Linked DNA regions of Anolis sagrei. The protein of the gene in region 1 purifies or fractionates together with the protein of each later gene. This does not show direct contact. Links are inferred from orthologs where the notes say so. Each region holds a gene or a part of one and is shown on either strand. Other genes may lie near its edges. The genes, in order: KLC2, KIF5B, KIF5A and KIF5C.

Region 1 (7,554 bases):
ATGGGGGACGCCTGGCTCGAGAGCAGTACGTGTGAAAAAGATCTTGGAGTCCTCATGGACAACAAGTTAAACATGAGCCAACAATGTGATGTGGCGCCAAAAAAAAGCCAATGGGATTTTGGCCTGCATCAATAGGAGCATAGTGTCTAGATCTAAGGAAGTCATGCTACCTCTCTATTCTTCTTTGGTTAGACCACATCTGGAATATTGTGTCCAATTCTGGGCACCACAATTCAAGAGAGATATTGACAAGCTGGAATGTGTCCAGAGGAGGGCGACTAAAATGATCAAGGGTCTGGAGAACAAGCCCTATGAGGAGCGGCTTAGGGAACTGGGCATGTTTAGCCTGAAGAAGAGAAGGCTGAGAGGAGATACGATAGCCATGTATAAATATGTGAGAGGAAGCCACAGGGAGGAGGGAGCAAGCTTGTTTTCTGCTTCCTTGGAGACTAGGACGCGGAACAATGGCTTCAAACTACAAGAGAGGAGATTCCATCTGAACATGAGGAAGAACTTCCTGACTGTGAGAGCCGTTCAGCAGTGGAACTCTCTGCCCTGGAGTGTGGTGGAGGCTCCTTCTTTGGAAGCTTTTAAGCAGAGGCTGGATGGCCATTTGTCAGGGGTGATTTGAATGCAATATTGGCAGGGGGTTGGACTGGATGGCCCATGAGGTCTCTTCCAACTCTTTGATTCTATGATTCTATGATTCTAAAATTCAATGCCTTAGAATCATAGAATCATAGAATCAAAGAGTTGGAAGAGACCTCATGGGCTATCCAGTCCACCCCCCTGCCAAGAAGCAGGAATATTGCATTCAAATCACCCCTGACAAATACAACTACAATATTAAAACCACAGTTTATTTATTTATTTATTTATTTATTTATTTACTTTGCTTGTATACCGCAGTTTCTCAGCCCGTAGGTGACTCAACGCGGTTCACATCAAGAGCAAAAAGTCAATCCTAACAACATACAATATTTAAAAAACCATTAACAGCATAATATACAAAGTAATGACACATCAATAAACAACACATTAACGTCTCGTAACTAGAATCGTGATCCAATTCGTCATCCGTAATTCCGTTTTCCTATATTCATCGTATTCATTGCACTGTTTATCCGAACGCCTGTTCAAATAGCCAGGTTTTTAGTTTTCTTCGAAACACCATTAACGAAGGGGCTGATCTAATGTCCATGGGAAGGGCGTTCCACAGCCGAGGGGCCACCACAGAGAAGGCCCTGTCCCTCGTCCCCGCCAGCCGTGCTTGTGATGCAGGCAGGATCGAGAGCAGGGCCTCCCCAGAAGATCTTAGAGTCCTGGTGGGTTCATAGGCAGAGATACGTTCGGATAGGTAGCTTGGGCCAGAACCGTTTAGGGCTTTATAGGCCAACGCCAGCACTTTGAATTGAGCCCGGTAGCAAATCGGCAGCCAGTGGAGCTGGTGCAGCAGAGGAGTTGTATGCTCCCTGCGCTCCGCTCCTGTTAGTAACATGGCTGCCGAGCGTTGGACTAGTTGGAGCTTCCGAGCCGTCTTCAAAGGCAATCCCACGTAGAGAGCGTTGCAGTAGTCTAAACGGGATGTAACTAGAGCGTGGACTACCGTGGCCAAGTCAGACTTCCCAAGATACGGGGGCAGCTGGCGCACAAGCTTTAGATGTGCAAATGCTCCCCTGGTCACCGCTGAAACCTGGGTTTCCAGGCTCAGCGATGAGTCCAGGCTCACTCCCAAGCTGCGAACCTGCGTCTTCAAGGGGCGTGCGGCCCCATCCAACACAGGCTGTAACCCTATGCCCTGTTCGGCCTTGCGACTAACCAGGAGTACCTCTGTCTTGTCTGGATTCAATTTCAATTTGTTTGTTTAAACATAAATCATATTAAAAACAGTACATCATCAAATATCAAAACAGTTATTAAAACCATAAAACAATCTCATCAGTCAAGTTCCAGTTCTTGTCCCACTAAAAGCTGCATACATCTCTGTATATAAAAGATGTATCTCTGGAAGCCGAAATCAATAGAACATAATAATAGTAAGGATAATAATCTATATAAATAAAAATGTAATGTTCGTTTGTGGGATTAACAACTCAAAAACCACTGGGCGAATTGACACCAAATTTGGACACAAGACACCTAACAACCCAATGTATGTCCTTCACTCAAAAAAATTGATTTTGTCATTTTGTCCATTGGCTACCAATTTGCTACTGGGCACAATTCAAAGTGCTGGCGTTGGCCTATAAAGCCCTAAACGGTTCTGGCCCAAGTTACCTATCCGAACATATCTCCGCCTATGAACCCACCAGGACTTTAATATCTTCTGGGGAGGCCCTGCTCTCGATCTCGCCTGCATCACAGGCACGTTTGGCGGGGACGAGATACAGGGCCTTCTCAGTGGTGGCCCCTTGGCTGTGGAATGCCCTTCCCATGAACATTAGATCTGCCCCCTCTTTGATGGTGTTTCGAAGAAAACTGAAAACCTGGCTATTTGAACAGGCGTTTGGATAAATAGTGCAATGAATACAATGAATATAGAAAAACGGAATTTATGGATGACGAGATGGATCATGATTCTAGTTACGAGATGTTAATGTGTTGTTATTGATATGTAATTACTTATTATATTATGGTGTTAATTGTTTTTAAATAGTATGTGTTGTTAGTATTGAATTATTGCTCTTGTTGTTAACCGCATTGAGTCGCCTACGGGCTGAGAAACTGCGGTATACAAATAAAGTAAATAAATAAATAAATAAATAAGCCACATCTACTCTTAATTGTCAGGTATATATCTGATATGCAGGAGGTATTTTCAGTTACTCGACCAAATTTGGCACAAACTTGGCTCAGATACTCAATATGCCCAAATGTGAACCCTGGAGGAGTTTGGGGGAAATAGACCTTGACATTTGGGAGTTGTAGTTGCTGGGATTTATAGTTCACCCACAATCAAAGAGCATTCTGAGCCCCACCAATAATAGAATTGGGCGAAATTTCCCATGAACAATAGAAAATACTGTGTTTTCTGATTGTCTTTGGTGACTCCTCAGACACCCCCCCCCTCTCCCTTGCGACCTCCCAGGGATCCCGATCCCCAGGTTGGAAAATGCTGCCCTAAAACCACTTATAACAGATCTGTGGTTGGATGATTTATTTATTTATCGTGTCATCAGCAACCATACCATTGTATTACAATTCTAATAGAACAAAACAAACACACAGATTAAAAAACAAACAAACACACACGCAAAAGAAAAAACACAGATTTTGCAAACTTGGTAGTTGGTTAAATGTGCTTTGACCAGTATCTGGCCACTTGGAGTGCCTCTGGGGTTGCCGCGAGAAGGTCCTCCATTGTGCATGTGGCTGGGCTCAGGTTGCATTGCAGCAGGTGGTCTGTGGTTTGCTCTTCTCCCCACTCGCATGTTGTGGATTCCACTTTGTAGCCCCATTTCTCAAGATTGCCTCTGCATCTCGTGGTGCCAGAGCGCAGTCTGTTCAGCGCCTTCCAAGTCGCCCAGTCTTCTGTGTGTCCAGGGGGGAGTCTCTCATTTGGTATCACCCATGGATTGAGGTCCTGGGTTTGGGCCTGCCACTTTTGGACCCTCGCTTGCTGGGGTGTTCCAGCGAGTGTCTCTGTAGACCTTAGAAAACTATGTCTTGATTTAAGTCGTTGACGTGCTGGCTGATACCCAAACAAGGGATGAGCTGGAGATGTCTCTGCCTTGGTCCTTTCACTATTGGCTGCTACTTCCCGGCGGATGTCAGGTGGTGCAATACTGGCTAAGCAGTGTAATTTCTCCAGTGGTGTGGGGCGCAGACACCCTGTGATAATGCGGCATGTCTCATTAAGACTCCCATGACCAACAGAAAATACTGGAAGGGTTTTGGAGTTGTAGTTCACCTACATCCAGAGATCACTCTGGACTCAAACAATGATGGATCTGGACCAAACTCTACACGAATACTCAATATGCCCAAATGTGAACAATGGTGGAGTTTGGGGAAAATAGAATCTTGACATTTGGGAGTTGTAGTTGCCGGGATTTATAGTTCACCTACAATCAAGGAGCATAACTGAAAAACCACTGGACACCAAATTTGGACACAAGACTGCACACAAAGCAATCTATGTCCTTCACTCAAAAAAATGATTTTGTCATTTGGGAGTTGTAGTTGCTGGGATTTACAGTTCAACTACAATCACAGAGCATTCTGAAGTCCCACCAACGATAGAATTGGGCCAAACCTCCCACACAGATCCACAGCAACGCGTGGCAGGGGATGACTAGTATATAAATAAATAAGTCAAGAAAGGGAGGTTACTTATCCTCCGACAGAAAAGAAGGAGCCGCCCTCCCCTTTAAGGAGGTTGTCTTGGGCCCTCCCCTTTAAGGAGGTTGTTTTGGGGCGGGGCCGAGCGGCTGCCGGTGCCGCAGTGCCTGCCGGGAAGCCTGTGAGGGAGAAGCACCTGCGTCGAGAGAGAGAGAGAGAGAGAGAGAGAGAGAGGCTGCGGGTGAGAGAAAAGCTGCGCGCGCAGGTAGGGCCCTTTTTGGGGTGGGGAGGGGGTTTTTGGAGAGGAGGGGAAGGGTCCTGCTTGGGTTTGGAGTGGCTGGATTGGAGGGAGACCCCCAAAATGGGGAAGGAATTGGGGGGCTTTGGGCCTAGGCTTGAGGAAATGGGGAGCTGGGCAGTCGACGCAGAGCCAGAAGTTGATGTCTTGGCAACACACAACAAAAGAGCCTTACCTCTAGAGCAGGTTTGGGCCCTCCAGGTGTTTTGGACTTCAACTCCCACAATTCCTAGCGGCCTCAGGCCTCGGGGCCTGAGGCCGCTAGGAATTGTGGGAGTTGAAGTCCAAAACACCTGGAGGGCCCAAACCTGCTCTAGAACTTGAAAGAAGACCAAAAAACACCTAGAGACCCCCAAGGACCATTCAGTCCAACCTGTTTCTGCCTGACAGGAGGACACCATCCAAGCCCTCCAGACAGATGTCCACACAGCCAGGAATAGATATGATTGAGATAGACATATGGTGGGCACCCAGCCCAGCCCCCTTCTGCCTCTTCCACCTCTATGCCTGCCATAGCAGCAAACAGCCAGCCTTTGAAGCTGCAAGGCCCTTCAGTGCTAATCAAGCTGGCCAATGGCAACGTTCGCACTTGCCTCAAGCAGACAAGAGCCCTCCCGACAGATGGCCATCCTACTTTTGCTTTAAACCTCCCAAGAAGGGGACTCCATTATCATCATCATTATAGGATCTTAGAGTTGGAAGGGACCCCATCTCCACCAGGCAGGAAGACACCATCAAAGCCGTCCCGACAGATGGTCATCCAACTTCTGCTTTGAAACCTCCCAAGAAGGAGACTCCATCGTCATCATCCTTAAAGGATATTATAGTTGGAAGGTACCCCTTCTCCACCAGGCAGGAAGACACCATCAAAGCCCTCCTGACAGATGGCCATCCAACTTCTGCTTTAAAACCTTCCAAGAAGGGGACTCCATCATCATCATCATTATAGGATCTTATAGTTGGAAGGGACCCCATCTCCACCAGGCAGGAAGACACCATCAAAGCCCTCCTGACAGATGGCCATCCAACTTCTGCTTTAAAACCTCCCAAGAAGGAGACTCCATCGTCATCATCCTTATAGGATCTTATAGTTGGAAGGGACCCCATCTCCACCAGGCAGGAAGACACCATCAAAGCCCTCCCGACAGATGGTCATCCAACTTCTGCTTTGAAACCTCCCAAGAAGGAGACTCCATTGTCATCATCCTTATAGGATCTTATAGTTGGAAGGGACCCCATCTCCACCAGGCAGGAAGACACCATCAAAGCCCTCCCGACAGATGGCCACCCAGCCTCTGTTTACAGATTCCGCTAGACGCCCAGACAACATATTCCACTTGAATTCTTCCTAGTGTTTAGGAGGAATCTCTTGGTTTGCAACTTTAAACCTTTCCTTCCATTGTCTCCAGAGCACCAGAGCTGATCAGATAGGATCATAGAATCATAGAATCAAAAAGTTGGAAGAGACCTCATGGGCCATCCAGTCCAACCCCATTCTGCCAAGAAGCAGGAATATTGCATTCAAATCACCCCTGACAGATGGCCATCCAGCCTCTGTTTAAAAGCTTCCAAAGAAGGAGCCTCCACCACACTCCGGGGCAGAGAGTTCCACTGCTGAACGGCTCTCACAGTCAGGAAGTTCTTCCTCATGTTCAGATGGAATCTCCTCTCTTGTAGTTTGAAGCCATTGTTCCATTGCGTCCTAGTCTCCAAGGAAGCAGAAAACAAGCTTGCTCCCTCCTCCCTGTGACTTCCTCTCACATATTTATACATGGCTATCATATCTCCTCTCAGCCTTCCCTTCTTCAGGCTAGACATGCCCAGCTCCTTAAGCTCATAGGGCTTGTTCTCCAGACCCTTATCATTTTAGTTGCCCTCCTCTGGACACATTCCAGCTTGTCAATATAATCGAGAGAGAGACGTATCATAGAATCGTAAGAGTTGGAGGAGGATACCAAATTGGGAGGGATATACTCCAGAGGACAGGAGCAGGATTCAAAACGATCTTGACAGATTAGAGAGATGATTGGCCAAAACTAACAAAATGAAGTTCAACAGTGACAAATGCCAGATACTCCACTTTGGCAGGAAAAACGAAATGTAAAGATACAGAATGGGGGACAATGCCTGGCTCGAGAGCAGTACGTGTGAAAAAGATCTTGGAGTCCTCGTGGACAACAAGTTAAACATGAGCCAACAATGTGATGTGGCGGCAAAAGAAGCCAATGGGATTTTGGCCTGCATCAATAGGAGCATAGTGTCTAGATCGAGGGAAGTCATGCTACCCCTCTTTGGTTAGACCACATCTGGAATATTGTGTCCAATTCTGGGCACCACAATTGAAGAGAGATATTGACAAGCTGGAATGTGTCCAGAGGAGAGCGACTAAAATGATAAAAGGTCTGGAGAACAAGCCCTATGAGGAGCGGCTAAAGGAGCTGGGCATGTTTAGCCTGAAGAAGAGAAGGCTGAGAGGAGATATGATAGCCGTGTATAAATATGTGAGAGGAAGCCACAGGGAGGAGGGAGCAAGCTTGTTTTCTGCTTCCTTGGAGACTAGGGCGCGGAACAATGGCTTCAAACGACAAGAGAGGAGATTCCATCTGAACATGAGGAAGAACTTCATGATTGTGAGAGCCGTTCAGCAGTGGAACTCTCTGCCCCGGAGTGTGGTGGAGGCTCCTTCTTTGGAAGCTTTTAAACAGAGGCTGGATGGCCATCTCTCAGGGGTGATTTGAATGCAATATTCCTGCTTCTTGGCAGAATGGGGTTGGACTGGATGGCCCACGAGGTCTCTTCCAACCCTATGATTCTATAATTTATAAACATGGCTCTCACATCCCCTTTTCTCAACCTTCTCTTTCCAAGCTAAACATTCCCAGCTTCCTAAGCTGCTCCTCATAAGGATTCATTGTTTCCAGGCTTTTTGATCATTTTGGTCAGCTTTTTTTGGACACCTGCTTGTGCATTTATTT
Region 2 (7,740 bases), on another chromosome or scaffold:
TCAAAGCTGATATTGTGGGATTTTCTGCCTTGATATTCTGGGATATAGGGCTGTGTGGAGGAGTCCCCAATCACCAATCTTTGTTTCCATAACAAGACAAATATTTCAAAATCTAATTATTACAGGGACAGAAAATGAGGTGAAATCTTCTGAACTGGGACACAGACAGCAAAACGTCACAGGGGTGTTACCTCTATACCTATCCAACCAAAAGCCTTCATATATATATATGTGTGTGTGTGTGTGTGTGTGTGTGTGTGTGTGTGAAGGCTTTGGGTAGGATATATCCACTATACACACACACGCAAACACACACACACACACATATACAGAGAGAGAGAGTGCACTGGAATTACACTTACATACAAATTCAACTTAGGAATGAACCTACAGAACCTATCTTGGGGACTGCCTGTATATAAAGTATCAGTTAAATGGAATATGCCACTGTATCAAATGAGCCTTGAAAGATTTGGGAAGTTCTCAAGACATTTGTGAGAAAAGATGTGGAAAAAAGGAGTGACGATGGACATGAAACTGGCTGTCTTTAGAGGCAAGTGGTCTATGGTTGGTTTTGAAACTGGTACACAATAAGGATGGATCTAACCATTAATGAATATCTAGTGAAATTCAAAGGCAAATGTAAATTCCAGCACTGTACTCTAAGTGAATCAGGAAAATGTGATGTACAATATGGTGCTAGTACAATGCTAAGACATCCTATCTTCTAAAGCAGTGGTTCCCAGCCCTTTTTTTTTGATCAGGAACGACTTGACCAGGGACCACTTTGACCAGGGACCACTCTCCAACATTAGTCCCAATAGGGTTACGAATCAGTTTTTGGACAACTTTAGATTTGGTTTAGTTATTTGGGGTGCTGATTCAGAAAATTGCATTGGATAGACCACATCACCTCTAGTTTCTGATACAGAATATATGCTATCCAGTAGTCGCCATCTGCTCACCCACAGAAAACCATATTTAATACAGTTTGGCACTATAAGAAGGTTTCGCGAGACCAGTCACTCTAGTTGCAACAATGTAGTAACAGTGAGGTCACGGACCATATTTTAGTTCTTGCAAACCACTGCTGGTCAACGAACGACAGGTTGGGAACAACTGTTTTAAAGGAAGACATTTATCTGGGCAATGGGGAGTCCAACTTGCTTTATCTGATGGAAAACTGGTAGGTCTAATAAATGACGACTTAAAATACATTGGCACAATTCAGCAGAGTAAGGCATACACAAACACTCTTTCTTCTAAACAGGCCAGCCGATAAGAAAACCAGCATATCACATGAGGAAAATTTGCCTCCAAGGACTACATTCAAGTAATAAAACATTCATTAGGAGGACATTGTTACCAGAGTAAAAAACTGTCCTGTGATATCAATAATATTAGGTTTTCCTACAAGTAAGCAACAACCATTGTTTTCCTTTAGGGGTTGTTAGGCCATTAGGAAGTTTTATGGGCTGAACACAAAGGTTTGGTTGTTTTGAGCGGAGGTAAAAATAGAGCATTTTTTAAAAAGGCAGAAGTAGTATAGTATTATTAACTTTTTTTTGAAGAATTAGAGAAGTAAACCAGAGACGAATACTCAAAACAAAATATTCTACTGATTTTCCAACCATAAACTCTGGGCAGACGGCATTTTGAAATCCATGAATATCTTGCAGGTTTGAAAAAAGAATATCTGCCTGGATGACAATTAAAGCAATACGGCAATTACATTGTGATTAAGTTTTCGTTTGAACAGCATCTGACCACTGTGCAAATGAGAAAGGTTGCTCTCTCTCTCTCTCTCTCTCTCTATATATATATATACACACTTTTGCTAAATTGCACTGATTCTAATTTGATAAATCACCTTGTGCTCCAGTTAAGGAAGAAAGTGAATGACATTAAACAGACAAATCAATTTCTGTCTGGGTTCATATTCAGGCTAAGGCAGGAAGTAAGCCTTAGGGTGCATCTGCACTGCATAATTAATGCAGTTTGACATCACTTTAACAAGGAGCCCCTGGTGGCGCAATGGGTTAAACCTTGTGCTTGTAGAACTGCTGACTGAAAGGTCAACGGTTCAAATCCAGGGAGCGGAGTGAGCTCCCATCTGTCAGCTCCAGCTTCCCATGTGGAGACATGAGAGAAGCTTTCCACAGGATGGCAAAACATCCGGGCGTCCCCTGGGCAACATCCTTGCAGATGGCCAATTCTCTCACACCAGAAGCGACTTGCAGTTTCTCAAGTCACTCCTAAAACGAAAAAACAAAAACAAAAAAACGTTTTTAACTGCCAGGGCTCAATGCTGCAGAATATTGGGATTTGTAGTTTGGTGAGGCACCCACTGCCTTGGAGAGGCAGCTAATGACCTAATAAAACTACAACTCCATGATCCCAGAGCATTGAGCCGTGACAGTTAAAGTGGTGTCAAACTGCATTAATTATATTGTGAAGATAGTCTTATCTTGTTCTGTGGGAAGGGCCTTGCAATCTCTGTACGGAAGACATCAGAATTTCCTATTAATGCCTATTAATGCTATCAAGGATTACCTTGATAGCATTTTTATATTTTGATACTTCAAGTTGTATACAGATTTAAACTGCTGAATGTGTTACCAGGCCTGACTGTATGTTTGGCTAAAGCTGTTTGATTTGGTGAGTTTAAATGTCTATATTCACTCTGAATTGTAATTGTTTGTTCTGCCCATTCATTGTTATTGGCTTATTAACATACTTAGGTGATCCCTCATAGTCCAAGGATGATGGTCCTCCAAGTGATGTGTTTTGCCCATGGATACCTAGGTGGCTGTGGCACCTGATTCTTGACCTGCATCTTCTCCTGCAGTGAGGGCATTAGTTTCCAGGTGGAAGGTTAGGGTTGGCTTGATGCACCTTCCTCTTGCCACGTTTCTCTCTTTCGCCCTCCATTCCTGCCTCTTCAAATTCTACAGTATTGCTGGTCACAGCTGACCTCCAGCTAGAGCGCTCAAGGGCCAGGGCTTCCCAGTTCTCTGTGTCTATGCCACAGCGTTTAAGGTTGGCTTTGAGCCCATCTTTCAATCTTTTTTCCTGTCCACCAACATTACATTTCCCGTTTTTGAGTTTGGAGTAGAGCAACTGCTTTGGGAGACAGTGATCGGGCATTCAGACAACGTAGCCGGTCCAGCGAAGTTGATGGCGGAGGACCATCGCTTCAATGCTGGTGGTCTTTGCTTCTTCCAGCACGCTGACGTTTGTCCGCCTGTCTTCCCAAGAGATTTGCAGGATTTTTCAGAGGCAACACTGATGGAGTTGCATGTGACATGTGTAGATAGTCCATGTTTTGGAGGCGTATAGCAGGGTTGGGAGGAAAATAGCTTTATAAACAAGCACCTTGGTATCCCTGCAGATGTCCCAGTCCTCAAACACTCTGTGCTTCATTCGGAAAAATGCTGCACTCGCAGAGCTCAGGCGGTGTTGAATTTCAGTTGTCAGTATTGACTTTTGTGGAGAGGTGGCTGCCACGGTAGCGGAAATGGTCAACATTTTCTAATGTTACACCATTAAGTTGTATTTCTGGCATTGGAGAGGGGTTGGCTGGTGACTGCTGAAAGAGCACTTTTCCAACCAGTCATTATATGTCAGTGACAATGTTTACTGTTGTTGTATTGTCGAAGGCTTTCATGGCTGGAATCACTAGGTTCTTGTGGGGTTTTTTCGGGCTATAGAGCCATGTTCTAGAGGCATTTCTCCTGACGTTTCGCCTGCATCTATGGCAAGCATCCTCAGAGGTAGTGAGTTCTGTTGGAATTAGGACAATGGGTTTATATATCTGTGGAATGGCTGGGGTGGGGCAAGGAGCTCTTCCCTGCTGCAGTTAGGTGTGAATGTTTAGCTGATCTCCTTCATTAGCATTTGAAGGCCTGCCTGAGCCTGGGAAAATCTCTTGCTGGGAGGTGCTAATCTGTGCCTGGTTGTTTCCTCTCTGTTGTTTTGCTGTTGTAATTTTAGAGTTTTTTTTAATACTGGTAGCCAGATTTTGTTCATTTTCATGGTCTCTTCCTTTCTGTTAAAATTGTCCACATGCTTTTGTTATTTGCATGTGGCATTGAATGTTTGCCATTTTATTTTAATTTAATTCTTGGAAGCCGTCCTGAATCCCTTAGGGGAGAGAAGGTGGATTAAAAATAAGGCATTATTATTACTATTTCTAGCGACCGCACTAACTTCAAATGATTTTCCAAGTCCAAGACTTAGAATCCTTGCCAGACTTCCCGCTAAATAGTCCGCGCATGCGCAGCAAAGTTCTCGCCTCTGCTTTCGAGTTTCCTCCTTTTGCGCCTGCGCGTTAGATCTCTCCTCCCGGACTTGCTGACAGGACTTCTCTGTTTGGAAGGAAGACATGTCGCCGAAGTGGGTTCGCCATTGCGCCTGCGCAGTACCGCTTGCCGCAGACGGTGACGTCACCTTCTCCCTGCCCGGCCGTTAGCCACGCCCCCCGCGCGCGCAGGAGGGGCGGGGCCCGGATTCGCCGGCTGCAGGTGCCGCCATGGCGGCCATATTGGAAAGGAAGTGAGTGCAGGAGGAGGAGGAAGAGGAGGCCTGGGCGGAGCGGGAGCCCTCCGCCATTCTTCGGACACTGGCCCGGCTCCTCAGTCCGGGGAGAGGTTGCCTGGCGTCGGGGCGAGGCGGGCGCTGGGCCTGACTGGACGCTGAGGGAAGAGGAGGAGGCGGCGGCTGAGGCCTAAGATGGCGGACCCGGCGGAGTGCAACATCAAAGTGATGTGTCGCTTCAGGCCCCTCAACGATTCCGAAGTGACCCGAGGCGACAAGTACATCGCCAAGTTCCAGGCCGAGGACACTGTTGTCATTGCGGTGAGTTGAAGCGTCGAGGGAAGCGCTTAGGCGGAGAGAGGCCTCTGGGAAAGGAGAGCCTGGGCGGCGGCTGCGAGGCCTCAATGGGCCGAAAGCAGAGGAGGGAGGGAGAAAAGCCATTGGTGGGGCCTAGAGGCAAGAGTCGGCCTTCTGTGGAACCGAAGGGAGGAATTAAAGGGCACCAGGGCCCTTCCACACAGTCATATAACTCTGAATATCGAGGCAGACAATCCCAACTGGGATATATGGCAGTGTGGACTCAGATAATCCAGTTCAAAGAAGATGCTGTGGGTTATTCTGCCTTGATATTCTGGGTTATAAGGCTTTGTGGAAAGGCCCTGAGCCCACACGGCCATATATCCCAGTTCAAAGCAGATAATGTGGGGTTTTATGTGGAAAGGGGCCCCAGTCACAAGCCACGCTGTGATCCACACCGCCCTATGTTGTTGTTGTTGTTCATTCGTTCAGTCGTCTCCGACTCTTCGTGACTTCATGGACCAGCCCACGCCAGAGCTCCCTGTTGGCCGTCACCACCCCCAGCTCCTTCAAGGTCAGTCCAGTCACTTCAAGGATGCCATCCATCCATCTTGCCCATGGTCGGCCCCTCTTCCTTTTGCCTTCCACTTTCCCCAGCATAATTGTCTTCTCTAGGCTTTGCTGTCTCCTCATGATGTGGCCAAAGTACTTCAACTTTGTCTCTAGTATCCTTCCCTCCAGTGAGCAGCCGGGCTTTATTTCCTGGAGGATGGACTGGTTGGATCTTCTCGCAGTCCAAGGCACTCTCAGCACTTTCCTCCAGCACCACAGCTCAAAAGCATCTATCTTCCTTCGCTCAGCCTTCCCTAAGGTCCAGCTCTCACATCCGTAGGTTACTACAGGGAATACCATGGCTTTGACTAGGCAGATCTTTGTTGCCAGTGTGATGTCTCTACTCTTTATTATTTTATCGAGACTGGACGTTGCTCTCCTCCCAAGAAGTAAACGTCTTCTGATTTCCTGGCCACAGTCTGCATCTGCAGTAATCTTTGCGCCTAGAAATACAAAGTCACGGCCTCCACGTTTTCTCCCTCTATTTCCCAGTTGTCAATCATTCTTTAAATGCCTTGTATGAGTTTCCACTGTCATATAATCCAGTTCAGATTGCATACTGATAATAATAATAATAATAATAATAACAACAACAACAACAACAACTTTATGTGTAGCCTGCCATATCTCCCCAAGGGGACTCAGGGCGGCTTCCAACATAATAAAGGCAGACATTCAGTGTCTGTGTAAAACAGAATGGTTGGGCTATGCCTGGGGAGTTGGCTGAAGCAGGGACTTTGAGTTACTGTTACATATTTTGGACTTGAGCTATGCAGGTGCTTGCAGAGAAGCAGAGAGAGAGAGAGACAGTTTGGAGTATGTTCTTGCTTCATGAACTGCCAGAAAGAAGATTCTCCACAAAGAAAGACCATTTTAAATCTCTCTAAAAGGACATTATTTGAGTCAGTCCAACTGATTGTATGATTGTAAATATGTTCAATGTATTGTCGAAGGCTTTCATGGCCGGAATCACTGGGTTGTTGTAGGTTTTTCCGGGCTATATGGCCATGTTGTGGAGGCGATTTTTTTCCTGATGTTTCGCCCGCATCTATGGCAAGCATCCTCAGGATGCTTGCCATAGATGTAGGCAAAACGTCAGGAGAAAAATCGCTTCCACAACATGGCCATATAGCCCGGAAAAACCTACAACAACCCTGTAAATATGTTGTTCTGAATTACCGATAATCTGCATGACATATTGTCTTTCTCTGGTAAGACAGTATGTGGACTGATCAAATGTCAACTACATGTGATTTATTTTACATTGAGCCACTTTTAGTAATATAATAAGATACCATGCTAATAAATTGTAATAATGTTCTTTTGCACATGAGGGCCCCATTGCACAATGGGGCATATTGTAGACAAGGACATGTTGCTCAGTGGAGTCTTGGATCATGTTGAGTAATGGGTATTTTGTACAGAAGTACAAAAATATAAACAACAATAAAATACATTACACAAATTAAAGCAAGGAATTTAAATAAATAATCAACATTTGAACCATTAAAAGCCGGCTAAGATAGCACATCAAATCCATTGTATTGTATGACAGTGTAGATACTGCATAAACTGCGTTGTATGGCAGTGTAGGTCAGGCATGGGCAAACTTTGGCCCTCCGGGTATTTTGGATTTCAACTCTCACAATTGTGGGAGTTGAAGTCCATAACACCTGGAGGGCTGAAGTTTGCCCATGCCTAGTGTAGATCAGCCTAAGTCTCCCATGTTTCCTAAAATGCTTGGGATTTGGGCCTTTGGGATGGAATAGAAGGTGTTCTTATCCAAATTGTGCATGTCAGGAAATAGCCCGCAGAAGTAATTTCAGAACCACTGGCAATCTTTGAGGGAATGTTCCAGCAGACTGGAAGAAGTTAAATGTTGGCTCCATCTCTAAAAGGGGGGGGGGGGGAGGAGGACCCAATAATGACCGCCCAGTCAGTCTGACATCAATATCAGGAAAATTCTGGAGCAGCATATTAAACAGACAATTACAAAAAGTCATCAAGGGTTTCCCATGAACAGGCCAAGCCAGACAAATCTTATCTCTTTCTCTCTCAGAGAAGCTTGGTAGATGAAGGGAATTCTGTAGGCATAGCATATCTCAATTTCAGTAAGGTCTTTGATAAGGTCCCCCGTAACGTTCTCATAAAGAAGCTAATAAAATGTTGGCTAGACCAGACATGGGCAAACTTTGGCCCTCTGGGTGTTTTGGATTTTAACTCCCACAATTCCTAACAGCCAGTAGGTTTGCCCATGCCTGGGCTAGACGATATTATTATTAGATGGATTGGGGA
Region 3 (8,247 bases), on another chromosome or scaffold:
CAAGTCGCTCCTGACATGGAAAAAAAAATAGGAAAGAAGACTCAGGCTCTAGCAGAAAGCAGATTGATGGCTTTCTCTGCAGCAAAAGCATAGCAAGGCACTCAGAAACCACAGAGAGATGAGCTGCCAACTAGGGGTTGTGGTGCCGGTGGGGAAGATGGCCCAAGTTCTAATTCCACAAATGGCTAGGTCACCTTGAGCAGGTCCTTCAGATTTAGGGGTGTGGGTTGTCACTTGCTCATCACAGCTGCACAAGCCGTGGTCAATGGATCAATGGTCAAAGGATGAAGTTGAGATAGGGCACACTCACATCAGTTGGCCGGCCATACAAAGCAGATAACCGACTCATTTCACAACCACACACTCAGCAGCGTGTCCCTCTCTGCAATAAAACAGTTGCATGAGGAGATGTCAGCACCATTGTTGGGCATAGCACCAGCAAGTTGGCACTGGGAGCATAACCATGTTCATCCCCTTGGGGGAAAAACGCATTACCACCCTTCCTTCTACTCTGACAGATGGTGGATTTAGCAACGGGAAAATCCAAACAATCAGCAGGTTGAAAGCCCAGAACGGTACCAAGTGGCAAGCACAAGGACCACAGGGACAAGCTTCAGGGGCGTTGCCATTTCCGAGTAAACAACCTCCAGGCGCCTTAGCTAGCCACCTGCACCATTTTAGCCCTGATCTTTATACTGCACAGATGGAAGTCAGTATGGAATATTTCACTGGATTATGGATAAGAGCAGGGGGGGTTTAAAAAATTACAGGTGGTGTGTAAGCAGGGGACCTTTGGGCATTTTGGGAATGTTAACCTCAGGAGGCGCAAGCAGACTAGCTGCTAGAAGGATGGAGTCTTAAGGTTTGGAAAGGCAAGATAACATATGGGCCGTGTGATGGATGGACAGTCAGAAAGGAAAGTGGCTTGTAGATTCCCTCCCAGCTCCCAAGGGCTCTTTTCTTCCCAGTGGCCAAACCAACAGCCCAGCTAGCCACACCCAGCTGACCAAGCCTGCAGAGCTAAGGAGGGAGGCAGTAATGGCACAAAAATGGAAGCAGATACTCCAAGCATCCTTCCCTGCTACCGGTTTTCAGAGAGTGATAGGTGGAGCATGTTTATACAAATGGATTTTCAAGTCGAAAAGACAATTTCTTAAAGGTGGAGGGGGAATGTTGAGCTGAGGGGTTTCATAAGGAAACAAGCAGCTTGTATCAAGATCACAGAACTGAATGGACGCCTTGGGAGAGGATCGATGTGGAGCGTAAGAGCAATCCATAGGGAGCAGGCCTCCCAATTTTCCCCAACACACACACACAGAAAGGAAGAGTGGGAAGAGAGGGATGGAGGTGGACAGAAAGAGAGAGGTGGAGAGAGAGGCCCCTTCCACACAGCTGTATAAAATTCACATTGAGCTGGATTATATGGCAGTGTGGACTCATAACCCAGTTCAAAGCAGATATTGTGGATTATCTGCCTTGATATTCTGAGTTATTATGGATGTGTGGAAGGGCCCAGAGAGGGAGAAAGAGGGTAAGAGAGAAAGGTAGAAAAGGGAAGAGAGAGAAGGAGAGAGAGAAAGGTGGGAAAGAGAGAAAAGGAGAGAGGGGGAAAGGGGGAGAGGGGGAGAGAAAAAGAGAAAGGGGAGAGGGAGAAAAGGGAAGAGAAAGATGGAGAGAGAAAAAGAGGGAAAGAGAAAAGGAGAAAGGGAGAATGCGGGGAGAGAGAAAGAGAAAAGGAGAAAGGGAGAAAAAGGAAGGAAGAGATGGGGAGAAAAAGGTGGGAAAGAGAGAAAGGAGAAAGGGAGAAGAGGGGGGTTGAAAGAGAGAAAGGGAGAGAGGGAGAAAAGGGAAAAGAGAGATTGAGAGAGAAAAAGAGGGAGAGAAAAGGAGAGAGGGAGAAAGGGGGATAGAGAAAGAGAAAGGGAGGAAGAAAAGGGGGAAAAGACAGGAATGGAGAGAGGGAGAAAGAGAGGAAGATGGAGGGAGAGAAAGAGAAAAGAAATATGGAAAGAGAAAAGGGGGAAGGAAGGGGGAGATGGAGAGAGTGAAAGAGAGAAAGGAAGAGAGGGAGGAAAGAAGGAGAGGGAGAGAAAGGGAGAAAAGGAGAAAAGGGGAAAGAGGAAGGAAGGTAAATGGGAAACTGAGAGAGAAAAGGGGGGAGAGGTGAGAGAGAAAGAGGAAAATAGAGAAAGGGAGAAAAAGGGAGAGAGCAAAGGTGGGAAAGAGAGAAAGGGAGAGGGAGAAAAGGGAAGAGGCAGAGAGAGAGGGGGGTGGAGAGAGAAAAAGAAGGAGAAAGAAGTGGGTACACAGGCCCCTTCCACACAGCTGTATAAAATCCACATTGAACTGGATGATATGACAGTGTGGGCTCAGATAGTTCAAAGCAGATACTGTGGATTATCGGCCTTGATATTCTGGGTTAATATGGCTATGCAGAAGGGCCACACAGAGAAAGGTGGGGAGAGAGATGGATTGGGAAAAGGGGGAGAGAGAAAAGGATGGGGGAGAAAGGTGGGGAGAAGTGGAGAGAAAGAGAGGGGGGAAAAAGGAGGGAGGGATGGAGAGAAAGGGTTATATATGCAGAAAGCGACAGAGACAGAGGGCCCTTCCACACAGCCCTATATCCCAGAATATCATGGCAGAAAATCCCACAATATCTGATAATGTGGGATTTCCTGATTTGATATTCTGGGATATAAGGCTGTGTGGAAGGGCACCCAGTTCAAAGCAGATATGGTGGGATTTGCTGCCTTGATATTGTGGGATAATACAGGGCTGTGTGGAAGGGCCCAGAGACCCCCACCGGCCCACCTCTTCCTCGCCCTTCACTCACCCCAATGATGACGGTGTCATCGCCTTGGAAAACCGGGATGAATTTATCCCCCCGGATGATCTCCGACTGATTCAAGGGCCTGAAGCGACAGAGCACTTTGATGCTGCATTCATTGACTTCCGTCGTCATGCTGGCGGGTGGAGGCTCTCCTTTGCGAGGGTGGAAGAAAGAGGGGCGGCGAGGGCTTGGAGTGGGGTGCGATTCCCGGGGAAAGGCGCAGGAGGGCAGAGAGAGGAGGGCGAGCGATGGGCGAGCCTGGTTCCCTGCCTGTCACCCCCCAGCAGCAGCAGAGCGGCGAGGCTCTCTCTGGGCTGGGCTGGCGCTCCTCCTGCTGCAGGCTCTGCTCCCGGGATGCTGCTCTGCCTGAGTCCTCCTCCTCCTGGTGCTCTTGCTGCAACTGATGCTTGCGGCGCTTGGATCTCTCTCCTCCCTCCTTCCCCTCCTGCTGCAGACACCGGCAGCAGCAGCAGCAGGCAAAGGGCTGGGCTGGAGGAGAGGTCCAATGGTACCGCTTTTAAGGAGGAGCCATCTCCTCGGCCTTAAGGTGGTATGTCATTGAACATTGAGAAAACCAAAATGCTGTTCCAGCAGTCACCAGCCAACCCCTTTCCAATGCCAGAGATACAGCTTAATGGTGTAACATTAGAAAATGTTGACCATTTCCGCTACCTTGGCAGTCACCTCTCCACCAAAGTCAACATGGACACCGAAATACAACACCGCCTGAGCTCTGCGAGTGCAGCATTTTTCCAAATGAAGCAGAGAGTGTTTGAGGACCGGGACATACGTAGGGATATTATTAAACTTTATTTGTACCCCGCTAGCATCTCCCAAAGGATTCGATGCGGCTTACACAGGCCAAGGCCTCAACAACACAACATAACAGTACAATCAAGCAAATCAAACAATTAAAAACAAAATAAAGCAAAGTAAACAGTAGGCACAATACATTAAAACACAATAAAACTGGGCCGGGCCAAAAAGTGGGTACAAGAATTAAAAGTGCTGGTTTGACAGGAGGTGTATAAAGGGTTTCTAGGGCAAGTGCGATGTGCGGTGTGCAGCAATCATTGGTTCTGGTAAAGTGCTTGTGGGACTCAGTAGTGAAGATTTCCTAATCTGGGAAGGCGCATCGGAAAAGCCAGATTTTTAGGTTCTTTCTGAAGACAGCCAATGACGGGGCCTGTATAAGGTCTTTGGGGAGGGTGTTCCAGAGTTGGGGGGCCACCACGGAAAAGGCCCTGTCCCGTGTCCCCACCAAGCGCGCTTGCGACGCCAGTGGGATCACGAGCAGGGCCTCTCCAGATGACCGAAGAGAACGCGTGGGTTCGTAGATGGAAATGCGGTCACGCAGGTAGGCCGGTCCCAAACCGTTTAGGGCTTTGAAGGTAAGCAAGGTGCTTGTTTATAAAGCTATTGTCCTCCCAACCCTGTTATATGCCTGCGAAACGTGGACTGTCTACAGACGTCACATGCAACTCCTGGAACAATTCCATCAGCGCTGCCTCCGGAAAATCCTGCAAATCCCTTGGAAAGACAGGCGGACAAACGTCAGCATGTTGGAAGAAACAAAGACCACCAGCATTGAAGCAATGCTCCTCCGCCATCAACTCCACTGGACCGGCCACATTGTCCAGACACCCGACCACCGTCTCCCAAAGCAGTTGCTCCACTCCGAACTCAAGAACGGAAAATGGAATGTTGGTGGACAGGAAAAGAGATTTCAAGATAGGCTCAAGGCCAACCTTAAAAACTCTGGCATGGATACAGAGAACTGGGAAGCCCTGGCCCTTGAGTGCTCCAGCTGGAGGTCAGCTGTGACCAGTAGTGCTGCAGAATTTGAAGAGGCACGAATGGAGGGTGAAAGAGAGAAACGTGCCAAGAGGAAGGCGTGTCAAGCCAACCCCAACTGAGACCGCCTTCCACCTGGAAACCAATGCCCTCACTGAGGAAGGAGACGTAGATCAAGAATAGGGCTCCACAGCCACATAACGGACCCACAAGAATACTGATCCTGGAAGACTATCCTACTCGGCCAACGAGGGACCGCCTAAGTAAGTAAGAAAGTAAGTAAGGGAAGGCTGAGCAGAGAACTACCCCCATCCTCCCCCCCCCCATTAAAAACAACTCTAGCAGCCCCCTCACACCCTCCCCCTTGTTTGGCAATTTAACTATGTTACACCACCTTGGCTTCAGGATCAGGATGCTGCTGCATAACTTGGGCACAAGGAATCGGCATGCCATGATGTCCTTTATTAATTGGCCAAGGGCAAGCCATACGCTTTCAGCCCTGGAAAATCCAGTGATAGGTTTCCCTAACTTGGTTGTTGTTGTTTATTCGTTCAGTCGCTTCCAACTCTTCATCATTGTTGCACTCCAGGTCAGGGAAATGCCCTCTGACTTTAAAACACACCACACAATGAGTGAAGAAACAAATCTTTATATATATATATATATATATATATATATATATATATATATATACACACACACACACACACACACACACACACACACTAGCTTTCCCCTGCCATGCGTTGCTGTGGCCCACATGGGGGTTCTGTGTGGGAGGTTTGACCCAATTCTATCATTGGTGGTGTTCAGAATGCTCTTTGATTGTAGTGACCTATAAATCCCAGCAACTACAACTCCCAAATGTCAAGATTCTATTTTCCCCAAACTCCACCAGTGTTCATATTTGGGCATATTGAGTATTCGTGCCAAGTTTCGTCCAGATCCATCACTGTTTGAGTCCACAGTGATCTCTGGATGTAGGTGAATTACAACTCCAAAACCAAAGGACACTGCCCACCAAACCCTCCCAGTATTTTCTGTTGATCATGGGAGAATTGTGTGCCAAGTTTGGTTCAATTGCATCGTTGGTGGGGTTCAAAATGCTCTTTGATTTTAGGTGAACTATAAATCCCAGCAACTACAACTCCCAAAAGACAAAATCATATTTTTTGCATGAAGGACATACATTGGGTTGTTAAGTGTCTTGTGTCCAAATTTGGTGTCAATTTGTCCAGTAGGTTTTGAGTTCTGTTAATGCCACAAACGAACATTACATTTTTATTTATATAGATATATAAATTTTTATTGAAAGAATATAGTTACAAGGAAAGTGGGGGAATATTGTGTAGAAATCAGTTGGCCCCTTCCACACAGCCATATATTCCAGTTCAAAGCAGAACCTGTGGGATTTTATTTAGCTGTGTGGAAGGGGCCTAAGGTGTTGGCCTTTTCACTCCTGGTGCTATTGGCACTCACCTCTACCCATATTCGCTCCCATTTACAGACTGCCACAAACAAAACAATTGGATCATTAAAAAAAAAGAGAGAGTCAAAGTGGACATGGGTTTGCATAACATGCAAATTTGAAAATTATCACTATATATATAGTCAAAGTATGATTGGTTTGCACATTTGGCCCACAAAGGCTCCTATGTGGCTTAATAGATCTACATCAAACTTGGCACATATACCCTTTATTATTCAACTTAAAATAATTGAGGGATTCAAACTAAAAACACATCTCTTTCGGGCTCAGTACAGAAAGAAAGAAAAGGAACAAAGTATTGGCTGTTGCTAGGTGTTGTGGCCTCTGTGATGTCACTGAGGGCCCATCTACACTGCCATATAACGCAGAATATCAAGGCAGATAATCCACAATATTTGCTTTGAACTGGATTATCTGAGTCCACACTGCCATATAATCCAGTTCAACATGGATTTTATACAGCTGTGTGGAAGGGGCCTGTGGAAGGAAGGGAGTGAAACAGCTTGGATTCTATTAGGAAACATATGTATTGGGAAAGTGAGGAAGGGAGGAAGGAAAGAAAGGAAGGAAGAAAGAAAGAAAGAAAGAGGAAGGAAGGAAGAGAAAGGAAGGAAGGAAGGAAGGAAGGAAGGGAAGGAAGAAGGGGGAGGTTTTTTGAGGGAAAGCAAAAGATGAAGGAAGAAATGAGAGAAAGGAAAGTGAGAGGAAGAAGGTGTATGAAGGAAACAGGGAAAAGAAGGCAAGATAGAATATGTCCACCATTGCCAGAGCATTGCCATGAAGACATTGTGAAGTAAGTCTTCTCAGAGCTGGAGAAGGGAGAAAGCAGATGGGCAGCAAACCCTTTGACATCCAGGCAACACCCGGTATATATGCAAGCTTCAATAGAAATCTTAGCTATCTCAACACAGTGGAGAAATCTCCAATCTGGTGACCTCTGTGTTGTCCAAACGTTAACTGTGGGTAGGCAACTTTAAACTGCTAGTCCTTCCAGCTGTTCTTTCCAATGGTTCTTCATATTTAAACTGGATGTGTACAAACAGAGGATACCTTCAGAGAGGATCATCCTTTAGAAAGCTGGCCACACACCCACCTTGGTATATACATTACAATAATCCAAGATACTCCACTCTTTGTTCGGCCTCTCAGTCCTCTGAGTAATGCTCTAGTCTGGAAGATGGGCATACAGTAAACCTTTTAATCATCATTACTGCTTACTCTTCCAGGAAATAAGCAGCCATTTAGACAGATGTAGCAAAACCGAACAATCAGATTGAGCTGACATGTGAAGGAAAAACAATACCAGAAATGCAGTTATTTTTAGGGAGGATGGTAGTAGCACTAGCATCAGGCCCTAAGCGAGCCAAGAGCATAGCTGCTGCAATGATTTGCCAACTAGTTTCATTTCTTCCAGATGAGTTGAGTTGAATGAAGCTTAAAAAATTATGTCTGGGACCGGATCTACACTGCCATAATAATACATTTTCAGAATGCTAATTAATGGCATTTAACTGAATCCTATGAGTCTACACTGCCATATATGGAGCCCTCAGTGGTGTAGCAGGTTAAACCACTGAGCTGCGGAACTTGTTGACCGAAAGGTCACAGGTTTGAATCTGGGGAGCGCCGTGAGCACCCGCTGTCAGCTCCAGCTTCTGTCAAGCTAGCAGTTCGAAAACATGCAAATGTGAGTAGATCAATAGGTACCACTTCTGTGGTAAGGTAACGGCACTCCATACAGTCATGTCAGTCACATGACCTTGGAGGCGTCTACAGACAATTCCGGCTCTTCGGCTTAGAAATGGAGATGAGCACCAACCCCTAGAGTTGGACACAACTGGACTTAATGACAGGGGAAAACCTTTACCTTTATTTATTTATTCACGTTATTTATTTATTTACGTTACTTTTATCCCGCCCATATCAGCCCGAAGGCGACTTAGGGCAGCATACAAATTGGCACAATTAGATGCCACATATAAATACATACATTGGTTAAAAACAAAAAAAATCACATCATAATACATTTAAAACCATAAAAGCAATAAACAATAAAAATTATAAAAACTATGTCTTTACCTTACACTGCCATACAATCCAGTTCAATGCAGACAATCTGCATTCTGAAATTTCA
Region 4 (7,443 bases), on another chromosome or scaffold:
CAGTTTACAAGCCCCACTCATGTTTACATTCTTAGGATTTATTTAGAAATTCTTGCCTTCTTAACTCCAGAATTTACCCATTGTATATTTACCCTTAAGGATAAGACTCCAGTTATCTCTTGGCATGCATTACGTCCCCCTCCCATCCCAAATACTTATCCCACGGTGAATGTTTGTCTTGAAAATGAACCACCTGACACTTTATTGTATTTGTATGTCCAACCTAGGCCCACACCTCCACTGAAAAACTACTTTTCACGCAAATGCTATGTATTTTAATATATGTATTTTATATGTTTTATAGGCATATGAATGTTATGGTGTGTATTTTATGTGATGTAACAGTGTTGTAAACTGCCTCAAGCCGTGAGGAGAGGTGGATAACAAATAAATATATTGTTGTTGTTATCATTAACAACTTTTCTTTCATGTCAGGAATGACTTGAGAAACTGCAAGTCGCTTCTGGTGTGAGAGAATTGGCTGTCTGCAAGGATGTTGCCCAGGGGACGCCCGGAAGTTTTACCATCCTGTGGGAGGCTTCTCTCATGTCCCCACATAAGAAGCTGGAGCTGACAGACAGGAGCTCACCCAGCTCCCCAGATTCGAACTGCCAACCTTTCAGTTAACCGTCCTGCCGGCACAAGGGTTTTAACCCAGTGCGCCACCGGGGGCTCAATGATCATCAATGTTTTGTTGAAGGCTTTCATGACTGGAATCACAGGGCTGCTGTGAGTTTTTTGGGCTGTATGGCCATGCTCCAGTAGCAATTGGACAATTACAGCATCATCACTGTAATTGTGTAAGCTCACATTCATATTCCCCACACCCAATAATGCCACAACTCTTCTTTCCACCTTTGTCATCTTATTCCCACCAACAGCATCATATCACATCACAGTATGAAGTCTTAACCCCAACTTTGAGTGCTAAGGAAGGCGGGGGGGGGGGGGGGGAGTAATAAAGAACACCTACAACCTTTGTTTTTCCATACCAGGGGTAAGAGATGATGCTGATCTTTATTTATATAGCACCATCCAGTGTGGCTGATGTTTTACAGAACCAAAACCATGGGCCTCATCCCTACACCTATTTACTTGGGGGAGAGTCCCATTGAATGTCATTACCATGATCAAACTAAGCCAATAATGTGTTGACAAAGGCTTTCATGGCCAGAATTACTGGGTTTCTGTGAGTTTTCCAGGCTGTATGGCCATGTTCCAGAAGCATTCTCTTCTGACATTTCACCCACATCTATGGCAGGCATCCTCAGAGGTCGTGAGGTCTGTTGGAAACTAGACAAGGGAAGTTTATATATCTGTGAAAGGTCCAGGGTGGGAGAAAGAACTCGTTTGTTGGAGGCAGGTGTGAATGTTTCAATTGGCCACCTTGATTAGCATCGAATAGCTTTGTAGTTTCAAAGCCTGGCTGCTTCCTGCCTGGGGGAATCCTTTGTTGGGAGTTGTTGGGAAAATTCCTGTCTGGAATTCTCCCATGTTCAGAGTGTTGTTCTTTCTTTACTGTCCTAATTTTAGAGTGTTTTTTTAAAAATACTGGTAGCCAGATTTTGTTCCTTTTCATGGTTTCCTCCTTTCTGCTGAAATTGTCCACATGCTTGTGGATTTCAATGGCTTCTCTGTGTAGCCTGACATGGTGGTTGTGAGAGTGGTCCAGCCAATAATGTAGCAATGTAGCAAGAGATTTCCTTTGGATATAGGTTTCTCCAAGGCTCTCCAAGACACCACCCCTTCATCTGGCAGGTTCCTACTGCTGCCAAGGACATACCCATTCCCCTCTCCAATATTTGCATCTACAGAGGGAAGGCAAGCCTGTGCAACGCCACTGCCTAACAAACCAACCTGATAAAGTGGAAACATTGAATATATATATTTAAAAACACCCAATATAACACCAAGTGAAGAGATTGATGTGTTGTCGAAGACCAGAATCAATGGGTTGCGGTGAGTCTTCTGGGCTGTATGTCCATATTCCAGAAGCATTCTCTCCTGACATTTTGCCAACAGACTCCTCAACCTCAGAGGATGCCTGCCATAGATGTGGGCGAAACGTCAGGAGAGAATGCTTCTGGAACATGGCCAGACAGCCTGGAAACATTCACAGCATCCTGAAAAGATTGATACCTATGATCAAAATATCCCAGACTAGAAAACAACATCATGTTAAGATTCCAAATCCGAAATGTCAGAGGAAAACAGGATGCCGACTTTGGCCGCACATCTCCATGGAGGGCCCTTCCGATGCCTTCCTCCTGGGCTTGGAGGTGAAAGGCTCCCCCAAAAGGCGACCCACCCACCCACTTACTCAGCCTCCCCGCTCCCCAATTCCCTTCCAAGGAAGGCCAGGGATGGGAACAATGGGCGGAGGGAGAGAGGGAGGGAGGGAAGAAGGAAAGGCGCACAATGCAGAGCCGCCCAAAGGGACACCCAAAAAGAAAAAGGAGAGAGATGCTGGTGAAGGAAGCAAAGGAGAGGGAGAGGGAGAGGGGGGATCCGGGGGGGGGGGAGGGTCTTACCCCGACCACGACGGTGTCCTCGCCTTTGAATTTGGAGACGAATTTGTCCCCGCGGAGGATCTCGGCCTCGTTGAGGGGACGGAACCGGCACATGACTTTGATGCTGCACTCGGCCGGGTCCGCCATGGCAGCAGAAGCAGGAGGAAGAAGAGGAGGAGGAAGGAAGAGAGAGAGAGAAGGAAGGGGGAAGAGAGGGAGGGGGTAAGGGGGAGGAGGAAGGGAAGGAGAGGAAGAGGAGAAGGAGAAAGAGAAGAAGGAAGAGAGGGGAAGGAGGATGGGAGGAGGTAAGGATGAGGAGGAAGAAAGAGGAGGAAAGGAGGAGGAAGAATGGGGGTGGAGGTGAAAGAGAAGGACGAGGAAGAGAAGGAGAAGAAAGAGGAGGAAGAATGGGCTGGAGGTGAAAGAGAAGAAGGACGAGGAAGAGAAGGAGGAAAGGGGGGAAAGAAGAGGAGGAAAGGAGGAGGAAGGGAAAGAGAGGAGAAGGAGAGAGGAGAAGGAAGAGGAAAGGAGACTAGGGGGTGGAGGAGAAAGGGAAGGAGGAAGAGGAGGAGGGGAAGAAGAAGAAGGGAAAAGGGGGAGGAAAGGAGGAGAAGAAGGGGAAGAAGGAAAAGGAAGGAGGAGGAAGACTAGGGAGTGGAGGAGAAAGGGAAGGAGGAAGAGGGGAAGGAGGAGGAAGACTAGGGGGTGGAGGAAGAGGAGGAGGATGTTCCCCCTGGCTTCCCTCCCCTTTGAGGCTGCGGTGCCCAGCCCGCTCTTCTTTGGGGCGTCCGAAGGTCCCTGCCCCTCTTCCTTGCTTTTCTCCTTTCCTTCTTCCTTCTCCTCCTCTTCCTCAGCCCTTGGCAGGTTCTCCTGCCTCGGCCACCATCCTGCCTCCCCGCCGGCGGAGCACCTCCTCACTCTCTCTCTCTCTCTCTCTCTCTCTCTCTCCCTCAGCCTCCCAGCCTCTCTTTCTCCCGCTCCGCCTCCATCCAGGGCTTTGTGACTTCACCGCATTACATCAACCCTCCTCCTCCTCCTCCCTACAAAGCGGGCTCATCCCTGAGAGTTGTGCTTCTGCCCGCCACCAGCAGGGGGGGATAGAGAGCAGCGGAGAAGCTCAGTGCGGGTCTGCCATTCCTGGCCAAGGAGGGCAACAACTCTGGGGACCTGGTGCACTTTGGCACTTCTTTTGACTCCTCGATTGTGGTGAAGACCCAATCCTCTTTGGCAGAGGAAGCTAGAGACCTTGTAAAACCACAGCTCCCAGCATAGAGCCAGAGCAGTGGGATCAAATGGTCTTAGCTCTCCACTGCTTGATCATTTAATACACAGGGGATACAATTGATACTATGATATCTTGCAGCAGGAGGGTAGAATAGACATGGGCAAACTTTGGCCCTCCAGGTGTTTTGGGCTGCAACTTCCACAATTCCTAACAGCCGTGGGATTTACACTTTGGAGGCAAAGAGCACTGTTTGGAAATTCCTGCCAAACCGTTACAATGGTGTCACAAAGATACGAAAATTGTGTTTCATTTGGTTTTACTGTCTGTCACAATGACTAACATCCATGGGATTTCTGCTTTGGAGGCAAAGATCACTGGTTCCTGCCAAACAGTCCACACTGCCATATATTCCAGTTGAAAGCAGAAAATGTGGGATATTATTCAGCTGTGTGGAAGGGGCCTCTGACCCCATCTACACTGCCATATAATCTATGTTCTGAATGCACAATATCTGCTTTAAACTGGATTAAATGGCAGTGTAGATTCATAATCGAGTTTAAAGCAAATAATCTGCATTCAGAAACTGGATTTTATCATCAGTATAGATGGGGCCTATGGCTCCTTCTACACTACAGAATTAATTTAAGCTTGACACCACTTTAATTGCCATCCCTCAATGCTATGGAATCATAGGAGTTTGAGTTTAGTGAGACACCATCAGAGAAAACTAAAGCCCTTGCCAAACTACAGTTTCCAAGATCTCATAGCATTGAGTTAAAGTAGTGTCCAACTTCATTAATTTTAAAATGTAGACACACCTTTAGATTACCATAAGATGCCTTGCATCCTCCAAATTTTGTTGGGCTCCTCTAACTCCCAATATGCCCAGTTTGCTTTGCTAGCTAGGCCTGCTCTGAGTTGCAGTGTAATAACATCTGGAACATATCCCGATTCCCACTTTGGTGGTAATAAGACATTAGGGACTACTCAAAACATGCCTAGTGTAATCAATAATGCTTTGGCTCCAGCTGTATGCTACACATTCAGGTTGCTAAAATGGAAAGCAAAGTCTATTACTCATAAGAATCACCTGATAATATATAATGGAAAATATTTTTAAAAACACATTTGAATCCCTACTCTTTGTTCCGATGTTCTGTAACATCTATGGTCTCTTTCAATTTTGGCTAATTATAATACTTGGGCACCACTTTAACTGCCATTGCTCCATCCCATGGAATATCGGGATTTACAGTTTGGGAAGACACTACAGCTTCATATTTGAGAATTCTTCATGCATCACAAAACTAAAAGTCAGTGGAATCATGGGCAATTAAAACTGGCGTCAAAGTGATATAATTATCCAGTGCAAAAGAGATCAACATCCAATGTTGCTTGTAAAAAGTTCATGGAAAATATTTCCAGGGAAATACTGACCATGATGATCTTTCAGCCTGCCATTGCAGTGTCACCTGCTGTAGCCAAAGCCTGTAACATTTCTGAGATAGTTCTGGGTTTTATATTGTAAGTCCATCTCTTTTGTACTCATTGTCCTTTGCCTCATATCCATGAGCTAGCATATGCTTTGACAGTTTCCATTCCTCAAGAGAACATTTTAAATGTGTGAATAATCAAATCTTCAAAGGTCAAAACCACAAATTTATTTATCGTAGCAGGAGCGAACCAAGGGCACAGCCGCCATGCATTTAAAAAACAGAGTTTAATAAAGCTTGGCACCATATCAAAAGTCCCTTGACCAGTAGCTGACCACCTGGAGTTGCCACTGTCATGCAACAGGTGTTCTGTGATCTGCTCCTCTCCACACTCGCATGCCGTGGACTCCACTTTGAGGCCCCATGTCTTAAGATTGGCTCTGCACCTCGTGGCTCCTGAGCGCAGTCTGTTCAGCACCTTCCAAGTCACTCCGTCTTCTGTGTATCCAGGAGGGAGTCTCCCATTTGGTATCAGCCATGGATTGAGGTTCCGGGTTTTAGCCTGCCACTTTTGGACTCTCACTTGCTGAGGTGTTCCTGCAAGTATCTCTGTAGCTCTTAGAAAACTATTTCTTGATTTAAGCCTTTGGCCAGTATTGCACCACCTGACATCCTCCGGGAAGTAGCAGCCAATAATGAAAGGATCAAGGCAGAGACATCTCCAGCCCATCCCTTGTTTGGGTATCAGCCAGTATGCCAATGCCTTAAAACCACAAATGTGGACAACTGCATACTTTGTACAGGATGCCCCTTGAGATAAAGCTGTGCCAGTAAATTCCAGGTGAGGAGGCTTGCTACTCTATTGTTGGAAGAAAGGCATTCTGTGCTTCACCCAAGCAGAAGAGCAGGAGGGGGAATCCGGCAATGCTATAAGAATGCTCTCTGCCAGCAAATTAATCACGAAGATTACCTAAAATCTATTACATTTTCAGATGCCTTTCATTGCTTCCAGAATGAGGAAGGCATATTCATAGTCTTGTCCTAAAGTATTTATTATTCATATGTATGGAAAAATTAAACTGGAGAGTAATATGCATTCTTTACATCAAGCTCTCCATGAACATGAACATTTGGGGAAAGGTCCTTCAGTTCAGATCTGGTTCAACTAAAGGATATCGCTCCCAAGAATGAAGTAGCTGTGTACATATTATTAACCTTCTAATATGCAAGCATCATAGAAGTCAAGAATAGATAGATGATGGTGCAAAATCACTGAGAATGAGTTAGTGATTTCTTAGAACTTAAGTACTTTATAGATAGGCCTGCAAAATCTGTAGCCTTCCAGATGGTGGTGGTCTATAACGCCCATTCTGACAATGGTGTGAGGTTAATATTGCAGATCAGCATCAACATCCATATGTCCGTATGGAGGACATGAGAGAAGCCTCCCTGCAGGATTGTAACACATCCAGTTGTCTCCTGGGCAATGTCTCCGTAGACAGTTGACATCAGAAGTGACTTGCAGTATGCAACCAGCCAAACAAACATCCATATGCCCCTCATTTCTGCTATATACAAAGACATCATATGGCGCAGTAAAGCAAACATGATATAGTCTTACACAAAAAGCCTTCCAGGTAGGCAATTTGTTACCTGTCAAGTGGTCTTATTTTACAAATCTTAATGCTATTAGTCCAAAATACATTTTTGTCCAAAAACCTTGTCTCAATAATATAGAACATAAATATTGTTAATACATAGCTAGGAAGCAGTCCTGAGTATCCATGGATTCTACATCCAAGGATCCAAGTACCTATTTTTATTTATTTTACAGTATTTATATTCTGCCCTTCTCACCCTGCAGGGGACTCAGGGTGTACATATATATGGCAAACATTCAATGCCATAGACACACAACATATATAGACAGACACACAGAGGCTATTTAACATTCCAGCTTTCTTGAGGATATTCTGGCCACCAGGGGATCTTTCGCTTCATCGTCCATTAGTGACAATGATGGGAGTACTTCCTCATTCTTTTTGCATGGTTGCTGGAGATTTTTATGGCGTTGTAAATTAGTTAAATTAGCCTGCCCACATAACCATAAATTTCCTACTTGACAGATGGAACTGTCTTTCGGGCTGCAAAGGTTGACAACAAGCTTCACAATGTTCGGAAGCTCACTCCAACCCCGGCTGGCTTTGAACTCATGACCTTTTGGTCAGTAGTGATCTTAATGCAGCTGACTCCCAGCCAGCTGCGCCACAGTCCC

Evidence for each region.
Region 2: the proteins of KLC2 (region 1) and KIF5B fractionate together in Homo sapiens (co-fractionation; 7 studies listed by BioGRID and IntAct, with this or other methods). This does not show direct contact. The link is inferred for Anolis sagrei from reciprocal best matches to the Homo sapiens genes KLC2 and KIF5B.
Region 3: the proteins of KLC2 (region 1) and KIF5A purify together in Homo sapiens (affinity purification with western blotting; 3 studies listed by BioGRID and IntAct, with this or other methods). This does not show direct contact. The link is inferred for Anolis sagrei from reciprocal best matches to the Homo sapiens genes KLC2 and KIF5A.
Region 4: the proteins of KLC2 (region 1) and KIF5C purify together in Homo sapiens (affinity purification with western blotting; 3 studies listed by BioGRID and IntAct, with this or other methods). This does not show direct contact. The link is inferred for Anolis sagrei from reciprocal best matches to the Homo sapiens genes KLC2 and KIF5C.

What each region holds. Positions count from the first base shown.
Region 1 is NC_090032.1:14,553,242-14,560,795, reverse strand, and holds the start of KLC2 (kinesin light chain 2), read left to right. Parts: upstream 1-4,431; 5' UTR 4,432-4,522; exon of another isoform or gene 4,523-4,546; intron 4,547-7,554. UniProt on the Homo sapiens protein: Kinesin is a microtubule-associated force-producing protein that plays a role in organelle transport. The light chain functions in coupling of cargo to the heavy chain or in the modulation of its ATPase activity.
Region 2 is NC_090026.1:112,333,345-112,341,084, reverse strand, and holds the start of KIF5B (kinesin-1 heavy chain), read left to right. Parts: upstream 1-4,500; 5' UTR 4,501-4,731; coding exon 4,732-4,857; intron 4,858-7,740. UniProt on the Homo sapiens protein: Microtubule-dependent motor required for normal distribution of mitochondria and lysosomes. Can induce formation of neurite-like membrane protrusions in non-neuronal cells in a ZFYVE27-dependent manner.
Region 3 is NC_090022.1:186,121,664-186,129,910, reverse strand, and holds the start of KIF5A (kinesin heavy chain), read right to left. Parts: upstream 3,310-8,247; 5' UTR 2,963-3,309; coding exon 2,834-2,962; intron 1-2,833. UniProt on the Homo sapiens protein: Microtubule-dependent motor required for slow axonal transport of neurofilament proteins (NFH, NFM and NFL). Can induce formation of neurite-like membrane protrusions in non-neuronal cells in a ZFYVE27-dependent manner.
Region 4 is NC_090021.1:206,189,188-206,196,630, forward strand, and holds the start of KIF5C (kinesin heavy chain), read right to left. Parts: upstream 3,475-7,443; 5' UTR 2,658-3,474; coding exon 2,532-2,657; intron 1-2,531. UniProt on the Homo sapiens protein: Microtubule-associated force-producing protein that may play a role in organelle transport. Has ATPase activity. Involved in synaptic transmission. Mediates dendritic trafficking of mRNAs.